Rattus norvegicus: one gene and its partners. The protein of the gene in region 1 purifies or fractionates together with the protein of each later gene. This does not show direct contact. Links are inferred from orthologs where the notes say so. Each region holds a gene or a part of one and is shown on either strand. Other genes may lie near its edges.

Evidence for each region.
Region 2: the proteins of Ankle2 (region 1) and Ppp2cb purify together in Homo sapiens (affinity purification with mass spectrometry; 4 studies listed by BioGRID and IntAct, counting the BioPlex papers as one, with this or other methods). This does not show direct contact. The link is inferred for Rattus norvegicus from reciprocal best matches to the Homo sapiens genes ANKLE2 and PPP2CB.
Region 3: the proteins of Ankle2 (region 1) and Ppp2r1a purify together in Homo sapiens (affinity purification with mass spectrometry; 7 studies listed by BioGRID and IntAct, with this or other methods). This does not show direct contact. The link is inferred for Rattus norvegicus from reciprocal best matches to the Homo sapiens genes ANKLE2 and PPP2R1A.

What each region holds. Positions count from the first base shown.
Region 1 is NC_086030.1:52,080,750-52,084,384, reverse strand, and holds part of Ankle2 (ankyrin repeat and LEM domain-containing protein 2), read left to right. Parts: intron 1-2,583; coding exon 2,584-3,211; intron 3,212-3,635. UniProt on the Homo sapiens protein: Involved in mitotic nuclear envelope reassembly by promoting dephosphorylation of BAF/BANF1 during mitotic exit.
Region 2 is NC_086034.1:65,265,257-65,268,909, reverse strand, and holds part of Ppp2cb (serine/threonine-protein phosphatase 2A catalytic subunit beta isoform), read left to right. Parts: intron 1-3,093; coding exon 3,094-3,183; intron 3,184-3,302; coding exon 3,303-3,464; intron 3,465-3,653.
Region 3 is NC_086019.1:69,219,594-69,223,246, forward strand, and holds part of Ppp2r1a (serine/threonine-protein phosphatase 2A 65 kDa regulatory subunit A alpha isoform), read left to right. Parts: intron 1-897; coding exon 898-998; intron 999-1,984; coding exon 1,985-2,217; intron 2,218-2,918; coding exon 2,919-3,066; intron 3,067-3,172; coding exon 3,173-3,328; intron 3,329-3,653. UniProt on the Homo sapiens protein: The PR65 subunit of protein phosphatase 2A serves as a scaffolding molecule to coordinate the assembly of the catalytic subunit and a variable regulatory B subunit.

The DNA of each region.
Region 1 (3,635 bases):
AGTTCAGTTCCCAGCACCCACGTGCGTGGTGGTTCACTGCCACCTACAACTCCAGTTCCAGAGGCTCCCACACCCTCTACCTCTGCTGGCACAGGGCACACGAAATGCACATGACACACAAGCAAGCAAAACACTCACGTAATAAAATATATTTTAAAAAAATGTTTTAAAGAAACACCTTAAACCTCTATGCCAACGTGGAGAGTTTCCCAGAAAATAAATGTGCTGTCCGGGCTCTGGACAGACCGTTGGCTTAGTCCAGTGTTCAAGCATATAGTTGAGGGACCCTCACCTACAGTTGAGGATTGGCTGAGGAAGTAAATAGTTCTATCCTTGAGCAGAAAAATCATGGCTTTAAATAAAATTATGCTTTAAAATTCTTTAAAGTAGTGAATGATGTAAACAATTAGAATGAGTGATGTAGAATAATCAGTCATTAATGTAGAAAAAAACTTTATATTTACATAATGTTAGTTTTCAAAATGTTTTTATGATTTTAAAAAATTTAATAATTTTATTTTTCTTGGATATTTTATGTATTTAAATTTTAAATGTTATCCCCTTTACTCCCTTTCCCCTCCCGCTCCTCTTGCTTCTATGAGGATGCTCCCATGCCCACCCACCCACTCCAAACTAATGCCCTGGCATTCCCCTACATTGGGGAACAAGCCTTCACAGGACCAAGGGCTTTTCTTTCTACTGATGCTGGACAATGACATCTTCCGCTACACATGTGGCTGGAGTCATGGGTCCCTCCATGTGTACTCATTGGTTGGTGGTTTAGTCCCTGGGAGCTCTGGGGGAGGGGGGTCATCTGATTGGTTGATATTGTTGTTCTTCCTATGGGGTTGCAAACCCCTTCCACTCCTTCAGCTTTCTCTCTTAACTCCTCCACCAGGGTCCCCTTGTTCAATCCAATGGTTAGCTGTAACCATCCTCATCTGTATCAGTAGGGCTCTGTCAGAACCTCCTAATTTTCAAAATATTAAGATGATTATAGCAACATTAGAGTTACATCTCACTTCAATGTTTTCCAACTAACATATTATCATTTTTGTAATTAAAACTAAAATGAAACAAACCTAGTAAATTTGACAGCACATTGGAAACAAGCTGGAAAGTCAAGAGTCTTCACTGTAGATATGTCCTCTAGCTAAACTCCCCTCACTCCTGCACTTCTGTTCTTGCAACGTAGAGCACCGCCCTCCCTGAAGAAACAGCTTAGGGTTGCTGTTGGTCTAGCAGCTCTTTATTCTATGTCAAAAATAAAACTGTGTTATGAGTCCAACTAAAGATAGTGGTCTTAGCCCAGTATAGCAGTGTCTATAGCATTAGCATCTAAGAGTAAGAGGGGCTGGGAAGGAGATCAGTGCATTGAAAACTGCAGCTCCACGGAAGGTTAGAGGCCAGGCTGGCCAGCTGGATGAGGCCCCTCACACACGGGTGTGCTAGTGAATGCCCAGAACTGAGGTCAGGAGGCAGGAAGGATATGGCCAACCTAATCTATGCAAGAAGAGGCAATCCAGGAATAAAGTATAGACACCCTGTCTCAAAAATAAAATGGAACAGGCAGGCCCTGGTGGTTCACCCTTTAATCCCAGCACAGGTAGGAGGATCTCTGAGATGGAAACCAGCCTTGTCTGCAAAGTGGGTTCTAGAGGAGCCAGGGATAACTGCAGCTTTGATTTCCCCAAAATAGAAATTAATGTCATTTAAAGCTTTCTAAGTTAAAATTGAAGTACTGACCTACAAATTAAATTTTCTGTAACAATGTAGGGAAGGAGGGAGAATATGATATATGTAAGTAGAAATTGGTTCCTTGAGGTGGCATAGCAAGTAGAAGCACTCGCTACAGATGCCTGGTGACCAGGTTCTATCCCTAGAACCCACATAAAGGTGGAAGGAGAGAACCCCACAAAGTACTCATGACTTCTAGTTTCATGCCACTGCCTACACACACACAGCACATGTTATGTATGTAGACACACGTCATACCAAATTAAAAATGAGTCTGAGAAGCAACCTTGAGTCTGCTGGAGAAAAGGCTATGTCCGTGGGCTATGGAAGAAGCTGCCCCAGGCTGGCAGTCAGTGTCAGGATGCATCTTTATGTGCTTGACTTGACTATAAGCAATTAGTTAATGTTGAAGAATTCTCTTATAGCAACTGACTTCAGTGTTACTCTCAAGTTGTTGATATTTCATGAGGTAGTTTTATTTTATATTTATTTTTTAAAGATTAGTTTTATGTAAGTGCGCTGTCACTGTCTTCAGACAGAGCAGAGGAGGGCATTGGATTCTACTATAGATGGTTGTGAGCCACCGTGTGGAATTGGACTCAGGACCTCTGGAAGAGCAGTCAGTGCCCTTAACCGCTCAGCCTTTTCTCCTGGCCCCATGAAGTAATTTTTCACGAGCTTCTTCTACATAGTATTTCTAGAACCTTATCAAACCAACTTGAGGGTAACTGGCCACGTGGTCCTTGTCTCAAAGCCTAACCCAGTGCAGTCATTTCTTGCTCGAGTTGTAGGGTTAGGGTTATAGTCTCATCCTGAACACTGACATGCAGTGTTGTTGCCTTACAGGCAGTGGAAAGAAGTACAGCAACTCCATCTCCGTGGGAGCGTTTCTAGATGGGGGTGATGACATTAGCTTGGAAGAAGTTAAAAATCAGCAAAATACAGTTCCAAGTCAGAGTCAGCCCTCAGTCGACAAATTCCAAAACTCCAAAAGTGGTTCCCCTTCCTTGGGACAGAAGGCGGACCCTGGAGAAGCCGCAGTTGGATTTTACCCAGATAACAGCAGAAATGGGTTTTGTTATCCTCTGAACAGCAGGACTGCAGATGGAAGGGAAACAGAGGCCACCAATGGAGAGGAGGCCCTTCCACCACCTGTTTCTATTTTGACTCAAGAGTTTGATAAACTGAATTTGCAAAGTCTAGGAGATAACCTTTTCGAGACACCAAATAAAAATAGGGAACTAGAGGATAAGATACTGGCTTCAAGTAAAGGTGTAGTAGAAAGTGGCTTGGCATCTCCTGCTGCAATAGCAAGACTTGAAAATAAGCAAGTCAGGACCAACAGTGAGGTGTCAGAGGCAATGGCTGAAATGTCTTTGGGCCCCAACAGCCCCCAACTTGGGGTTCAGGCTGGTCTGGAACCTGGGTTCTCATCTGCCACAGCAGATCCCACCAAGAGGCTCTTCCTGTCTGGGTAAGTTAAAGATGTTTGTAAACTGTAATGAGTGTACAGTTTTCTAATATCCTTGGGGTCTTCTCTCTGGGCTGTGCTAATCCAGTGTCAGTAAGGATAAGTACCTACAGAATGATTTCATCTGCCCTATGTTTAAGACTCAAACCCATGTTAGTAATAAGGGCACACGATACGACCAATGGATGGAAGACCCATTCCTGACAGCACTTACCTTGACCAGCCCTGGCCTTGCATACCAGCTCCCCCTACTCACTCACCTTAGGCTGGTTTAATATGCTCAGCCCAGATTGGTGGTGTTTTGTTTGTTTGTTGTTATTGTTTTTTTTTTCATTTATTTTGTGCTTGTAAGCTTTCCAACTTGGATACTAGAAGCCAAATCCAGTCCTCTGTAAGACCCCTTAGCTACTAAACCATTTCTTTAGCC
Region 2 (3,653 bases), on another chromosome or scaffold:
AGGGAGTCTCACTCAATTGCTCAGGCTCAGACTTGACCGTACTCTCAGCACAGCTCAACTCTCCTGCCTTATGTTCCCAAGTAGCTGGGGTTCTAGGCTTCAGTCACCAAGCCCTGCTTCCCCTGCCTCTGGTCTTCTGGCCAAAGAAGATGTGTGCCCTAATGTGTGCTCTAAAAAACAAAACAAAACAAAACAAAACAAAAACAGTGTAAATAAATGCTTAAGTCTTGGGGCATATATATTATTAGTAACACAAGATGTAATTGGAAATTGTGCCCATATTACTACGTTCCCTGGTTACCATTAGTAGCTTTTTATTCCTATTTTCATGATAACTACAAACATAATATTGTATATTATATCTTTTTTATCAAGAGGGATCTCTGTTTCCAGCATAGTAAGTTTTAAGGCATACATATAAGACATTACACAGGTTTCCTAGTTCACCATTTAGAGGCTGCACAGTGAGCTGATTTAAATTCATGTACAACACACAGAATAAAACTTGAATGTTAGCAGGTCTTTAATCCCTGCACTCAGGCAGCAGAGACAATGGATCTCTGAATTCAAGGCCTCCCTGGGCTAGAGTTAGTTCCAGGACTGACAGCTGCACAGAGAAACCATGAAAGCACAGCACTCTTGAAGGTGTAATGGATACTCTTTGGCTTGCTAGTCTGAGTATAATTTTGGATACTGTAATAATTAAAATGACAATACTTTACCTATACTTGCTAATGTGAATGAAAGTTATTAAAATTTTTCAAGTAATTGAAGTAAAGTCTTTTAGCTTTAAAGTAATGAAATTAATTTAGAAAGATAACAGTAGTATTAGTCATCTATCTGATTTTTAAACTTGGTCCATACATTGGTAGAACTCTTATGTATTTCTTATACTATCCAGCATTCTCCAAACTCATTAGTCTTTACTGTTTTTGAAGTATTTATAAGAAACAAAACAGCCAGCATACACACACCATTGTGACAGGCTATCATTTATGAAGTGTTATCACTGGAAGACACAAACACCTCAGAAATGAAGTAGATAGAACAAGTGGTGCACAGAGTCCTGGAAGGGAATGACAAGCTTAGGTCACACGTGGTGTTCAGTATATGGGTACCTAGCAATCAGATCTGCCTATTGTATGTGCACGTGTGTGCAGACGAGCCTATGGCGGCTGGAGGTTGCTGTCCTAACTCAGTTGATGTACATGTTGATTGGTGAGACGGGTTTTTCACTGATTCGTGTAGATAGCCTGGCCAGAGCCGCCCTTATGTCTCCAGCTTCCCAGCACTGAGCCTCCATGCAGTGCTGTGTGCCCGGCTTCTTACATGGTGCTGGGCTCCAGTCCCTGCGTGGCAAGCCTTGACTGCAAGCCATCTAGAACCAGGTCTGCTTTGTTAGGTTTGGGTTTAGGAGATTTTATTTTTGATACATTTATTTGCAGGGGAGCGAGGGAGGTTGGCCTACGGCAAAATGAAGTTGTCATGTGCTGAGCCATCTGCCAGCCTCCTTAAATATGTCTGTAGGCCAAGTATATGGGGCTTTAAGGAGCATGGAGCTGGTGGGAAAAAATGGAAAACTTGAAAATCCTCACAGATAGACATGATGTGCGACTATGATCCCAGCACTCGGGTTTCAGAGCTTCCGTGGCCATATGTTTTATCTATATAAGTTCAGTAGCCAACCAGATACCGCAGGCACAGAAAGATAAAGTGAAACCGATTTTGGTGGGGAGGGTGTCCTATATCAGTGATTTAAAATTCAGTTAAGAATCATATAGTGCTAAATGTTTTAGAAGATCCATTAACAGTCTTGTCTATTAGGGAAGCATGAGAAACCTCGTCAGACTCAGGAGAAAAGGCTGATGTGCTCACGTAGACCCATTCAGGAGCTCTGGGAAGAACTGCTGACGCCTAAGTTAGCCTGGGCTACATCCATAGCACATACATTGCCCCTGCCAATGAGCTGCTCACGAAAATCCTCGTTATTCTCTTCCTTAGTCTAGTCCTTGAACAGAGGGTAGTTCTGAGAAAAAATTTAAAACGCTTATATCATCCCACTTTATGTCAGAGTCCTGTAGGTGCACTGTCTACAATAAAAGGAACGGAAGACAACTGGGGAGGTGGCCGAGGGTGACCAACACCTTCTTCCTAATTTGTAAACACATCAAGTACTTGTTTGCAACCATGAAGATTGGTGCCTAGATACCTAGCAGCCATGGAGGGCACGGTGCCCGCCTGTGACCCCTCTCCTGGAGATGGGATTCCTGGAGTGAGCTAGCCACAGCAGCAAGCTTTCTTTTTTTTTTTTATTTTTTTATTTTTTTTTTTTATTTCGGAGCTGGGAACCGAACTCAGGGCCTTGCGCTTGCTAGGCAAGCGCTCTACCACTGAGCTAAATCCCCAACCCCAGCAGCAAGCTTTCAAGCAAGAGACCCTGCCTTGGTGAGGAAGGTGGAGGGATCAAAGAGGGACATCCACTACCAACCTTAGGCCTGCACATCTGTGTGCACCCACTAACAGGTCTGCATATACATGCAAACTACAGTTCGGTGTGCAGAAGTGACCCAGTGAGTAAAGTGTAAGGAGAGAAAACCCTAACAGTTGCCCCGACCTCTGTGAGATGTCTTCCACATCATACAATGAGGAAGGAATTAAAGGTGATAAGCTCTATAGAGAAAGTGTGTGAATGTGGGGATGTGCTCAGGAAATCTGAGGAACACCAAAAAGCTCATTGTAGTCAATACCAGAGTCAGGAGGATTGATGTTGAGAGACAGGAGTGTGAGCGGACGCAGTGACGGTGGTGAGCATCCTGTGCTGGGGCAGCAGCAGCCCCACTCTGGAGGCACTGGACTGCATGCAGAGGCCTCAGACCCCGGACCACAGCGGGGGAAAGGAGAGCCCTCAGCACTCGCCGCTGTGGTTACTGCTGGTGACCTGATCCTGCTTTGCGCTGTAGCTCACAAATCTTCCCGTCAGTAATACCATTGGGAAGGAAAGGCTGTCATGGCCGACGCTTGTCACCATTGCTTACTGTTCGTTAATTTAGCAATTACAAGTCAAAAACATGTTTTTCTCAATTTAAAAAACAGATATTCTGCCTCCACGGTGGCCTCTCTCCATCCATAGATACACTGGATCACATAAGAGCCCTGGATCGCTTACAGGAAGTTCCACATGAGGTAAATTTGGCAGTTACTTGTTGGTTTTGATTTTAAGGGAAAAAGTGTAGTCACGTGTGGGAAGGGTAACTCAATTAAACACAACTCATAGTATATATTTGTTCTTTATCCTTGTCCAGGGCCCAATGTGTGATCTCTTATGGTCAGATCCAGATGACCGTGGTGGCTGGGGCATTTCTCCACGTGGTGCTGGCTACACATTTGGACAAGACATTTCTGAAACATTTAACCATGCCAACGGCCTCACACTGGTGTCCCGTGCTCACCAGCTTGTAATGGAAGTACGTACTTTTCCTGCACATTGACCTGCCTCTCACGGTGTCTGCGTCTCTGATAAGGCTTCGTGCGTGACGCAGACGGAAGGAGCCAGAGCCCATTGCCAAGTCCAGAGCTCCATGGTTCTGTTAAAGCCATTGTCTGTTGTAGCCAGTGCTTCAGTCAGAACATTTTCATCTGTATACTCCTACTCA
Region 3 (3,653 bases), on another chromosome or scaffold:
AAGCATGATTCTGTAACTTAAATGAAGATTAAGGCTCCTGTGGAGGTCGAGTAACAGAACCTCTGGAAGAACAGTCAGTGCTCTTAAACTCTGAGCCATCTTTCCAGCCCCTCAGCTAGTTTCTTGAGGGAAAGTCAACAAACTTAGTTTTCTAGAGACAAAAGCCCCAGACTGGACATGTTCAACAGCTGTGTTGTTGCTGTTCTTGAATCTGGAAGTGTGAAGTCGGGGTATCAATAGCCTTGGTCCTGGTTTCTTCTGAGGCTGCTCTTTTTGGCGCTATTATGGCAAGTCCAAGGTAGAGAATGCTAGAATGCTTTACATTCCACTGGAGGTCAGTGTTTCCTTCAGCAAAGGCAGGGAGGGGGTTGGGGGAAACACACACACACACACACACACACACACACACACACACACACCTACCTTTGAGTTTGGGCAGTATGCTTTGTTTCCCTGACATTTCATTCATTCACATTCCATTCTGGCTCTGGCAGGAGCTGGAGCACACCAAATCTAGTCTTGGGCACAGGTGATCAAAGGTAGAAAAGAATTTCCTGGTTGAAGACATAACTCCTGAAAGTGAGTTCCTGCATATTTAAAGTTTTACTGAACATCCTGTGTTGCATTTATCTATGTGGTCTTTGTCCCTGTTGAGAGGAACCCAAAATTGAGGTTACAGCAGTTGTGCTACTCAGTTACCATCCCACACCTAGCATGGGCCAGAAAAGGCAGATATGGTGTTTGGACTTATTCTGCTCACCAGGTAGATGATGATTAGGAATGGCAGGTTGGGAGATAGGGGTGCTGACAGTGAGGAAGCTGAGTGGTTTTGCTTATTGGAAGCTTGGGTTACTGGTTCGGCTTGAGTTTTTAATGGGCTTGGTCTTTGACCCACAGATACCATCTATGATGAAGATGAGGTCCTCTTGGCTTTGGCTGAACAGCTGGGAACCTTCACCACTTTGGTGGGAGGACCCGAGTATGTGCACTGTCTGCTGGTGAGTGAAAGCTGCGAAGTTTCTTAATCCTCTTTTCTGCCTTGGGGTTAGAATGGTGGTCCAAGAAGCAGAGGATTTAGGAAGGCTGGATGTGACCTCAGAATGGATTACCTTTGGATGTAACTTTCACTCAAGTCAGTAGTGTCATTTAATCTATAGTCGCCATCCATTCTGCAAACTTAACCACACTAGGACCCTGTGGCATTCCACCCATAGGATTTTGAGTTTGGGTCGGGCCAGGTTCTATTATTTACTGGTATGACTTTAAGAGTACTATAGTAAGTATTCACAATTAGATTTTGTGGTTGTCATGGTTGTGTAAGATATGTTATCTACCAGTTTGGGTTGCAAGGTTCACTTGATGGCTGAACCACCTAGAGTACCAGTAGGTTAAGCCATCTCTCATCAGGGACTCTTAGCTAGTAATCATGCATTGTCAAGATTGTTTGCTTGATTGCACCAGGCTATACCATACCTTGCCGTACTGCACCGTACCATACCATACTATACCAAACCATCTGTGTATCTCTGTTGAGTGACAGCTAGAAACACCAACAGAATCCGATCCTGACAGGACCTGCTAGGTACGGAAGGATAACCAAGTGATCTTTTAGATCTTGGCTGTTAGCAGCTTAGGCAAATTGCATAACCTATATACTTCCAATTCCTGCTCTTTGATTAATGAGGATAGTATCAAAACTGTTTTACAAGACTCACATAGAAGGAGTTTTGATCAAAAAAAGGTGAGCAATACAGTATCTGAAACCTAGGTCATGGGTATTAGAGCCGCATCATTAGTGTTTATTGTATATTGAGAGCCACACACACACATGGGCCTCTTAAGAGATCCTTGTAGGAAGCTTGTTATCACAAGCATGGGGCTGGGGAGATAAGAGGAGTCTCCCTCCAGTCAGGCCATGAGGTAGGGTTCCACAACTGAAACAGTAAGAAAAACACTGGTCTCTAACCTTCTGTTCTCATCACAGCCACCTCTTGAGTCACTGGCCACAGTGGAAGAGACAGTAGTGCGAGACAAGGCGGTAGAATCCTTGCGGGCCATCTCTCATGAGCACTCACCTTCCGATCTAGAGGCTCACTTTGTGCCTCTGGTGAAGCGGCTGGCGGGTGGAGACTGGTTCACCTCCCGTACCTCAGCCTGTGGTCTCTTCTCAGTTTGCTACCCCCGAGTATCCAGTGCCGTGAAGGCAGAACTTCGACAGTGAGTTCTCATTCCCATCACTTTACCTAAACCCTCCTCTAAGCCTAATGTCCTTGATGTCTCCCTACTCCCTCCCTGCTCCTAGCTCTCTTCAAAGAGGCTTGTCCTTCACAGTGATCATTGGACACCATACCTCAGCATCGAATTTTCCTTTTCTGCCTTCATGGAAATTTATTCCTACCATTAGTTATACCTGTGGGCTTGGAGCAGAATACAATACAACAAATAGTATCTAGTGTTATCTCCAGCCTGCCCCAGGTTTAGACCCCTCATTTGATAACTGCCTTGTTGTTCAGACCTAATAAGCCAAAGTTTCTGAGTTGTCACTTCATACAACTGGGTTAAAGCCACATATATATATATATATGCACGTGCTGTATGTCTCCATTAGTTCTTAGGAGGCAATTGCTCCTGAAATGGTAGACGAGTCATTTGCATTTTAAACAGTTGTTAGTACTGTGTTGTACTCTTTGACTGAGACCTCAAGTCAGCTTTGTGGGGACTTGCTACTGCCATTGGTCAATTTATAGAGCTGAGAAGACAAAGAGGTCATGAATTGTACAAAGTCACCATTGTCAGCACCAGAATTTACTGCAGACCCAGCAGTGCTCTGTGCTGTGCTGTTCTGTGCTGTGCTATACTGTGACACCAGCTGGTAGGGCTTTCCAGGATTCCAACTCTGGGCCTCCATCCAATTCCAGGTACTTCCGGAACCTGTGCTCAGATGATACCCCCATGGTGCGGCGGGCCGCTGCCTCCAAGCTGGGGGAGTTTGCCAAGGTACTGGAGCTGGACAATGTCAAGAGTGAGATCATTCCCATGTTCTCTAACCTGGCCTCTGACGAGCAGGTAAGCCAGTCACCAACTCTCACCATGCCCTTGCTAGCTGAGGAAGGAATGCACCCTTAAGGCTCAGTGGGCCTCTGCTTCCCTGCCCCTCCCTGTGTTTTCCCAGGACTCGGTGCGGCTGCTGGCAGTAGAGGCATGCGTGAATATCGCCCAGCTTCTGCCCCAGGAGGACCTGGAGGCCTTAGTGATGCCCACCTTGCGACAGGCTGCTGAGGACAAGTCTTGGCGTGTCCGCTACATGGTGGCAGACAAATTCACAGAGGTAAGTTGGCATAGTTCCACAGATGGGAACACTGAAGCTTTCTGAGGGGAGGAGGGAGCAACATATAGGAGATGACATGCTTTATTTTTTAGGACAGCAGTCCGTCCTGAGTCTTAATGGGCAACCGAATCATCTCCCAGAGCCAGTCCTTGTGGGTGATTTGAATCAAAGTGCTGTAATGAGAATGATTTTGAAGCCAAGTTTCAATTCCATGAAAGCATTTTTCCTGAACTCACAACTTCCCTAAGAAAGACACAGCCCCAGTAATAGTTGTCATCAACCACATGTTAGTCAGATCAGGGACAAGTGCTCTTTGTGCCAAGAT